2 linked regions of the Nothobranchius furzeri genome follow. The protein of the gene in region 2 interacts with the protein of the main gene of each other region in a pairwise test. Links are inferred from orthologs where the notes say so. Each region holds a gene or a part of one and is shown on either strand. Other genes may lie near its edges. The genes, in order: copa and copb2.

Region 1 (3,821 bases), about 17 Mb from region 2:
TGGCCCACCAGCTTGGCATTACGCACCATGTGAAGCACCTGGAAGGACCGCCGTCAGGAGGATAAATCAGTCAAAGCAAAAACACGAAGGTGGATTTAAAACAAACATTTAGAACAAACCTCATCATATTTGCGATTGACCAGAGCCAGTTTGAAGCGGTACTCAGTCGGGTCGATGGTGAGCACACGGGGCCTGCATTCTCTGTCCAGGCAGTAAACACTGTTTCCTCTCACACGGGTCACGTAGATGGGCAGATCCAGGGTCCTGATGATGCCGTGGTCACTACAGAGTCATAAACAGGGCGCTATAATATTCATTTTCAAATGCACACAGTAACGTGCTCAAAAAACAACTTAACTTGTATAATAAAAGACTCCCATCTAAAAAAAAAGTCTCCATGTGGAAAATCTGTGCACACTAGCAGTTAGCTTCACTACCTTCTTTCTCACCATCTTTTAGCTCCAACACTTCACATGTTCAGGTTTCTTGATTTTCTGACATTTGTAAGACATCTGGGCTGCATCCAGAACTAGACGACCTACCCAGAAGTGAGGGCATATTTGATGTGGTTGGAGGTGGTGTAAATGAAGACCCCACTCTCATCCCAGGCTCCGCTCTTCACTCGGATGTTTTCGTGGATGTTGCAGAGACTATCTAGCTTACGGTTGCAAATCATTATAGCTGAAGGGAGAAAGATGAAGAAAAGACTTTGATGTGTCTGAAAATAAATTTTACAGAGCATCAACTTACATTTTTAGGCTAAATGTGCAACAATAAAGGGTGAAATCTTATTTCCTAATGTTATTTTCTGTTACTCTACACAAATGCCTGACTGAACTAAACCTGCACCATTCCTCTCATCAACCCACCGTGTTTAGCCAGCAGAGCCACGTGGCTGGTGTCAGAGCTCCACACCACATATTTGACCTTAGCGATCTTCACAGTGGCCAGCGAACGTTTCTGCTGCACGTCGAACAGCGTGACGCCATCAGCATCCCGCAGCAGCAGCGAACCCGTTCCTGCGTAGAATATCTCCTCGCAGCTCGGCACCTGGACTTTCTTCACTATTTCATTCTTCAGGTTTTTGATCAGAAGCTGTGAAGGAGAAACAAATGGTATTTTAATTTAGTGCCTTTTTAATTCTTCATAAAGAACACCATTGTTTGCAAGTGAACTTACAGAGTGCATGCGATCGAGAACAGCAAACCGGTTTCTTGCCACCCAGACAGCCGTCAGACCAGAAGATCGTTTCCCCTCAGGTGCTGGGAATAAAAAATAAATTCTCCCACTTTAAATGACCAAACGATGCATCTAATTATTTGGATAAAAAATAAAAACAAATTGAGAAATTAAAAAGGTCTAACATGTCCTCTATCATGAATCGTCTTTACCATCAGGGTTCTGAGAGTCACTTTCTTTGGGAATCGAGTACAAGTCGTAAGTACTGTTCTCCAGGTTGGTGGCCCTCTGCAGGAAAAACAAAGAATTTGGAGAAAAAAAAATAAAAAAAATAATAATAAAACAATTATGGGCAACAAACGTTATCAGTGAGGGTTTTTATACTTACAGTACAGAGCAGGACAGCGTTCTCGGCAGGGTTGTAAGACATGCTGAACACCGGGAACTTAGAACCACTAGAAGAGAAAATTAATAAAAGAAATTTGGTGCAATTTTACTGTTTCAGTCCACATTAATGGGCAATAACAGTACAGTAGTTGAAACTACAAGTCTAAATCATTTGTATTCATCATCACTGTTCATTCAGCCTTGTCTAATGAAGTCTAAGAATAAACTTGCAGAGGTGAATTTCTTCACATCTGCATTTAGGACATTTTTGCTGCAAACTTTGTGGTAAAAGATGATCAACAAGACATCTTTCATTGTTTTGCTGTAAATAATAAAAAGCTATTGAGATCCATAAATTAGTCAAGAGGTAGGAGGGGAGACCAAGTGATCAAACCTCTTGTTGCTCACTGAAGAAGCTGTACTTTAACCTCCAACTACCAACCTGCGGAGCTGCATGACAGCAGTGTCTTTGCTGCTGTTGAAGTCCAGCTGACGGAGGAAGCGATCCTTGACGTAGTACAGCATGTTGCCGTGTACAGCGTACGCAGGGCGCTCCCGCTCCAGCTTGAATACAATCATACCACTATCATGACCTAAAAATAATAAAGGACAATAATCAAATTTAAAAAAATAATCACTTTTTAAATTTGCTAATTATTTCCTTTAGCTGAGTAACACATTGTTTTTATTACAGTCAAATACAATTGTAGTAACTGGAATCATTCTTTTAAGTTCAAATAGTAAAACCTCACCAACAGCGTAAACCGCCCATCTATAGATTAATGTTGGGGTCGACACTTACCTGCTGCAAACAGGTTGAGGTTTGGGTGAGCCCCCAGGACCCAGAAGCGATCATGATCACGGCGAAAGGTTTGCACTCCGGTCCTTTTGGACATGTCCCAGACTCGGATGCTCTTGTCCTCAGAGTTGGACAGAATGAGCTCCTGACGTGGGTGGAAAACTGCACAGGACACATTGTTGTAGTGACCACGGCAAGTATCGAGCTCCCATGCTTTGGACTCTGGACAAAACAGGAAAAGATGAGATTAGTAAAACATATAAATGACATAATCTGCAAAGCGTGACATTTTAGTTCAATGCCGATTGGTTCAAAGCTAATATGAGCCAGACAGGCGAGTGTGTAAATAACGTAAATTGAACGTAAAATGTTGGCATAATAGCCTCCGCCAGACATGTTTGAATATTTAAACATTGCTGCAGCAACTAGCTGCAGAGCAAAACGTGGAGCAGCTGATTTATTATGTGCCTGTCTTACCGTTCATCCTCCAGATCTTCACCTGTCTGTCATCAGCTCCCGACACGATGAGAGGCATGCTGGGATGGAAGGCAGCCCAGTTGACCCCACGATCATGACCCTGGCCACAGACGCACAAACTCAAGTCCAACAAATGCTTAAATATCTCCGCACACATTCAGCACCGAAGCTAAAGGCTGTTCTCTTTGGTGCTCTCAAATTACAAGCATGAGAGCAAGGAATTATATTTTTAATTTATGCAAACACTGAGAAAGTCAGGCTTTGAGAAAGATGCCAGTTTTGTTGAATATTTTAGCCAAAACTATCAAGAACAGCAATAGCAGAATGAATAAGTTAAAAAATGGAAGCTTCCTTTGAAAACTGAGCTACGAGTTCAAAACCTGCCAGGCACAAAAAATAAAGGACATTTTCCTTTGCTAAGCTGTTTAAAAATGTATTCACTAGATTGAGACGTAAGTCTTAAGAATACTAAATAAGACAAATCAAGTTTGCTGCTCACCTCAAGGACATGCTTCACAACAGCATCCGAGGCGCCAAATAGGTCAACCCCAGTGATGCCGCGCACTTCCGTCTCCACGGCGCCAGGAGACAGGTTCTTCTTCCTCAGACCTGGAACCATCAATTAGAGGGTCGCGTGCAAGGAAGGAAAGCCATGTTCATGTTATACAGAGCACAACCCCAGCAAAGAGGAGGAGGAAGAACACAAAACAAAACATCATTCCACATGATCAAACATGGGGTCAAATCATGTAAAACAAAAGAACAAATTCAGAGTAAAAATAGGACTGTTGGACTACTGAACACACACACATGGGGTTGAAACACACAAACACAACCTTCGTTTCCTCATTAAGATGAATCTGGAAACAATCACCACAGTAGCAGCGCCAGAAGAAATGACTGATTCAACTGAACACCACAGTAGATTTACTGATCATCTCCAGAACTCAGACTAAATCAGGAAGGAAATTTGACAAGA
Region 2 (4,400 bases):
GGATGATAAAAACATCTTTTCCGTGTGGACGTACTCGGAGGAGTCGTGTGCCCAGACAAACTCTTGAGCTGAGCCGAAGCTCTTGTTCCTCAAAGCCATGGCAGTATAAATGATGTACTCTCCATCTCCGCACACAACAACAAATCTAGTACACACATAACAACGACAAATCAACAGAATTTCTTCCACATTCAACAAAATTCGGATGACGAGTGATGACTTTCTGGGGCTGTCACAAGTGAAACGCGTGTTTTTACCTTCCATTAGGGTTATGCTGGATGGTTTGAGGGTAAATCTCACAGCTACCCATGTCTTTGACAGCCAGTGGCAGTCTCTCCCCATCTTTGATTTCTGCATCCCCCATAGCCTTCAGGTTAGCCTGCTGTATTTCACTGTGCTTAGCCCAGATGATTTTGCCATTAGTGTCCATAGACATGGCTGGCTCCTCCCGACCAACCTACACCGCAGAGTAAAACAAGCGTACACATTTTTACTTTTACCGTTTATTTCATTTTAATGTGGATTTCTTTTAAAAAGTTAATTTTGAGGCATTAGTTTAATCCAACTTTAGATTAAATCTTCCTTTTACTCACTTTGATGATGATGCTGCCTTCATCGTATCCCAGTGCCACATTGTTGGATCCCCTGAGGCCACACACACACCACACTCGTTCCATGCCGTAGTTCAGGGTGCTTTCCAGGCGATAAGTACTCGAGTGCCAGATTCGAACCGTACCTGGAGAGGAAAGACGACGATATTGCACAAAACAACAACATAAGGAGAGGACGTTCCTGTGGATTTTATGGTTGAGGGAGATTTTTTCTCACCATCCTCTGATCCCGTGATGATTATGGGTAGTTCTGGGTGGAAGCTGACACACGAGACATTTTGGGCATGACCTTCCAGAGTCTGAACACAAGTCTTGTTCTACAACACACAGAGAAAGAGGGATATAAATGTATGTAGAGGAAATGCTAGATAAAACTTACAAAGACCAAAAAATAAAATCACCATACCTAACTTGGGCTTTTTCTAATGCGAGATAAAACAAATAGTCTGTACTTTTTCAAATTAATGCAGTTTTCCCCATTTGGTGACTTACTTTAAATTCTGTGTACATGCCACTATAACTATAACCAAATAAAACTTCTCTAACCTGGTAGTCCCAAATTTTGACTTGGCGGTCATCAGCCCCTGATATCAGATAGGGCTTGTCTCCTCCACTGTAGTAGTCAATACAGTTTACTCCCTTTTCGTGACCCTCCAGAGTGAAATTAGGAGATGAGGAGCCCAGCTGCCAAACCTGTACAACACAAAGAGAGAGAGAACTGTACAAAAATAATCAGACACAGTACGCTTCTTACCACTGACTCCTTTGCACCAAATCAAATATAAAGGAGCTGTTGATCTTACACACATTCATTAAAAACAATAATCTACACTTATATACAGTTTTACATTCCATTTATCCATTTGCACAAACAGAAAAATCTACCTTTATGGTTCTGTCCAGAGAAGCGCTCGCAAACTGGTTGTTGTCCTTGGGGTTGATGACGATCTGCATGACGTAATGAGTGTGACCCTCAAACACCTGACTGCATGTCCACTTTTTCTCCCAATCCCAAAGCTTGATCAGCATGTCGTCTGCACAAAGATAAAACACAATCACGCTCAAGTGCCCAAAAAAAGGATACATAAGCCTAATCAGAGCCACAGCTGCATTTAAAGCTGTAGAAAATATAGGTTTAGTAGGGTAAATAGTGTACCACTGCTAGTGAGGATGTATGGCTGAGTTGGATGGACAGCAATGCAACGGATGTAGTCAGAGTGGGCTTCAAACATGTGGACCCGCTCCAAGGTGTTGTAGTTGAACACACGGATCTGCATGTCATCCTGTGAAGAGAAAAGAAATTATGAATAAAGTAGAAAAGTGTAGTTTTTCCTAAGTTTTCTAGTAAAAGTTTTAACTCTAAAATAACATCAAATAGCAGTTTTACACTAATATACATATATATATACATATATATATATATATACATATATATATACATATATATATATATATACATATATATATACATATATATATATATATATATATACATATATATATATATATATATATACATATATATATATATATATATATATATATACATATATATATATATATATATATATATATATATATATATATTACAGAAGCTTTTAGAGGTGTAGGCTCAAAACAAATAAATTCCTGTGACTCACTGCTCCTGTGATCACCCAGTTCTTTCTTGCCACAAACTTGGAAGCTCTGACAGGCAGGTCACACACTTCAAACGTCTTGACCAGAGTCTGGAATAAAAACAGATCGACTTTGATTGTGATTTTTATAGATGTTTTTCACATATTTGTTTGTTTATATGGTGCACAGATCAAAGGTTTTACTCTTTGGGTGTATTCCATACTTGCGTTTCGTGGTTCCACACACAGACACTGCCGTTGTACAAACTGGCCAACATCCATGGCTCGGTTGGGTGAAGATCCACACTCTTGACCCGGTCCGACCTGGCTGTTAGCCTCCTCTTGATGTCCAGCCTCAGAGGCTTAAATAAAAATAAACCCAATGTGTTAATAGACACTATTCAAACTGTACTTTGTTGCTGTTAGCTAGTAGTAGCAGAACGTCAACTTAACACCAATGTATCAATCATCAGAAACAAATGAAATTAAAACTGTTTTTTTCGCTATTTCAGTTGATCAGTCACACATTCATCTGTGACTAATTCGTTGAAAAATAAGGATAGATATATGTGACATTAACATTTAGGTTTAAACGTGTTTGAGAGACAATATTCTATGCAAACTTAAGCTAGTTAGCCGCTAGGCTCTTTTAAGCATTTCATTCTTTTTGTTTAAAGATTAAACTGAATCTCGGGTGACATTTATCGAAAAGAAGCACACTTATAACTTTCTAAACTACAGCTTACCATATTTTCCGCCCTGGATGTCTTTGCTAGATCCGATTAACGTCCAATCGAGTCCAAATGTTGCGATTTCAGTGAGCAGCGTTCTGCAGGACACTGACGTGGAACTTCCTGAAACGAAATCTCGCGAGAACTGTGTTGGAACTGCTGACGTGACATGGAAGCTTGTAGGTTGCAAGTTATTTTTTTATTTTTTTATTTTTTGTAGGTTGCAAGTTGCTGTTGTAACTCAAATAAAGTTACTGAATTACATGGACATTTTTTAAACAATATTTAAGCTTGTAATTTTAATATTTATTCTAACTCAGTGGTTCGCAACCTGGGATCCGTGAAACCCAAAGATTACAGTGGGGTGTGGGATTACCAAGATTATATTTTCAAAAGTTAAATGTATAAAAGCCCCAAAACACACCAAATCGTATAATCAAAACTCTGCATAAGAAGTATATCTTAGTATGCCTGTATAAAGCTTGTAATTATTCACTTTTGATGTGTTCATGAGGGTAAAGGTTGGGGGTCTTGGTTCGTCCTGGACACAGCTTCCTTATCTTAATCTTCTTGGGAGTATTACTATTAAGGATGAGAAGAAGGATGAGTAGAAGCAGAAGAAGGAACAGGATTTTTTAATTTAAATTGTTACTTAGTAAAAACACTTTCTCTAAATTCTTCCAAATAAAATGTTTTGTTGCCTTGACAGAACGGAGAACTTGTGCCCTCTACTGGCAAAACAACAGAACAACACTTTGGTTTCCAACAGCATTTATAAAAGACGGGGAGATGGGGAGTTGCTGCCCTCCAGTGTCTGAACGCGGGTACTTTTTTTTATTTTTTTAATAATAATAATAATAATGCATTGAACTTATATAGCGCTTTCAAGACACCCAAAGACGCTTTCACACACTCTCACATTCACACACTGCTAGTGATGGTAAGCTACTTGTAGCCACAGCCGCCCTGGGGAGGTCTGACAGAGGCGAGGCTGCCATTTGGCGCCGTCGGCCCCTCTGACCACCACTAACACAGGCAAGTTGGGTGAAGTGTCTTGCCCAAGGACACGACAGCAGGATACACCTGGCGGGAGCTGGAATCGAACCCGTGACCCATTTAGAAGAAAATATTTCAGCCTCCTTATCTTAATTAAGCTGTAAAAAATGTTAATCTTCCATTTTGTCCTCTTGGGAATAATAAAATTAAGGATGATGAGGAAGATGAGTAAAAGCAGAAAAAGGAACTGGGTTTTTAAAGTTAAACTAGAAGCAAAACTCTTCTAAATTATTCCAAACACATGTGTTGTTGCCTTGACAGAATGAGGGATTTGCACGCTAACAAATAAAATACAACACAATGAATAATTAAAGATCATTTATTGATTCAAAATGCTTGGAAAACATGTAGATTCTATTTTTTATCAACCTAGTGACAATAAGGAC

What was found.
Region 1: the proteins of copb2 (region 2) and copa interact in a two-hybrid assay, tested with the Homo sapiens proteins (2 studies listed by BioGRID, with this or other methods). The link is inferred for Nothobranchius furzeri from reciprocal best matches to the Homo sapiens genes COPB2 and COPA.

The regions. Positions count from the first base shown.
Region 1 is NC_091751.1:41,088,714-41,092,534, forward strand, and holds part of copa (coatomer subunit alpha), read right to left. Parts: intron 3,452-3,821; coding exon 3,342-3,451; intron 2,943-3,341; coding exon 2,843-2,942; intron 2,588-2,842; coding exon 2,369-2,587; intron 2,160-2,368; coding exon 2,009-2,159; intron 1,635-2,008; coding exon 1,568-1,634; intron 1,468-1,567; coding exon 1,392-1,467; intron 1,263-1,391; coding exon 1,180-1,262; intron 1,096-1,179; coding exon 870-1,095; intron 682-869; coding exon 543-681; intron 283-542; coding exon 120-282; intron 39-119; coding exon 1-38. UniProt on the Homo sapiens protein: The coatomer is a cytosolic protein complex that binds to dilysine motifs and reversibly associates with Golgi non-clathrin-coated vesicles, which further mediate biosynthetic protein transport from the ER, via the Golgi up to the trans Golgi network.
Region 2 is NC_091751.1:58,295,993-58,300,392, forward strand, and holds the start of copb2 (coatomer subunit beta'), read right to left. Parts: upstream 3,106-4,400; 5' UTR 2,977-3,105; coding exon 2,974-2,976; intron 2,590-2,973; coding exon 2,452-2,589; intron 2,339-2,451; coding exon 2,252-2,338; intron 1,895-2,251; coding exon 1,768-1,894; intron 1,646-1,767; coding exon 1,497-1,645; intron 1,305-1,496; coding exon 1,158-1,304; intron 929-1,157; coding exon 829-928; intron 737-828; coding exon 594-736; intron 458-593; coding exon 258-457; intron 146-257; coding exon 35-145; intron 1-34. UniProt on the Homo sapiens protein: The coatomer is a cytosolic protein complex that binds to dilysine motifs and reversibly associates with Golgi non-clathrin-coated vesicles, which further mediate biosynthetic protein transport from the ER, via the Golgi up to the trans Golgi network.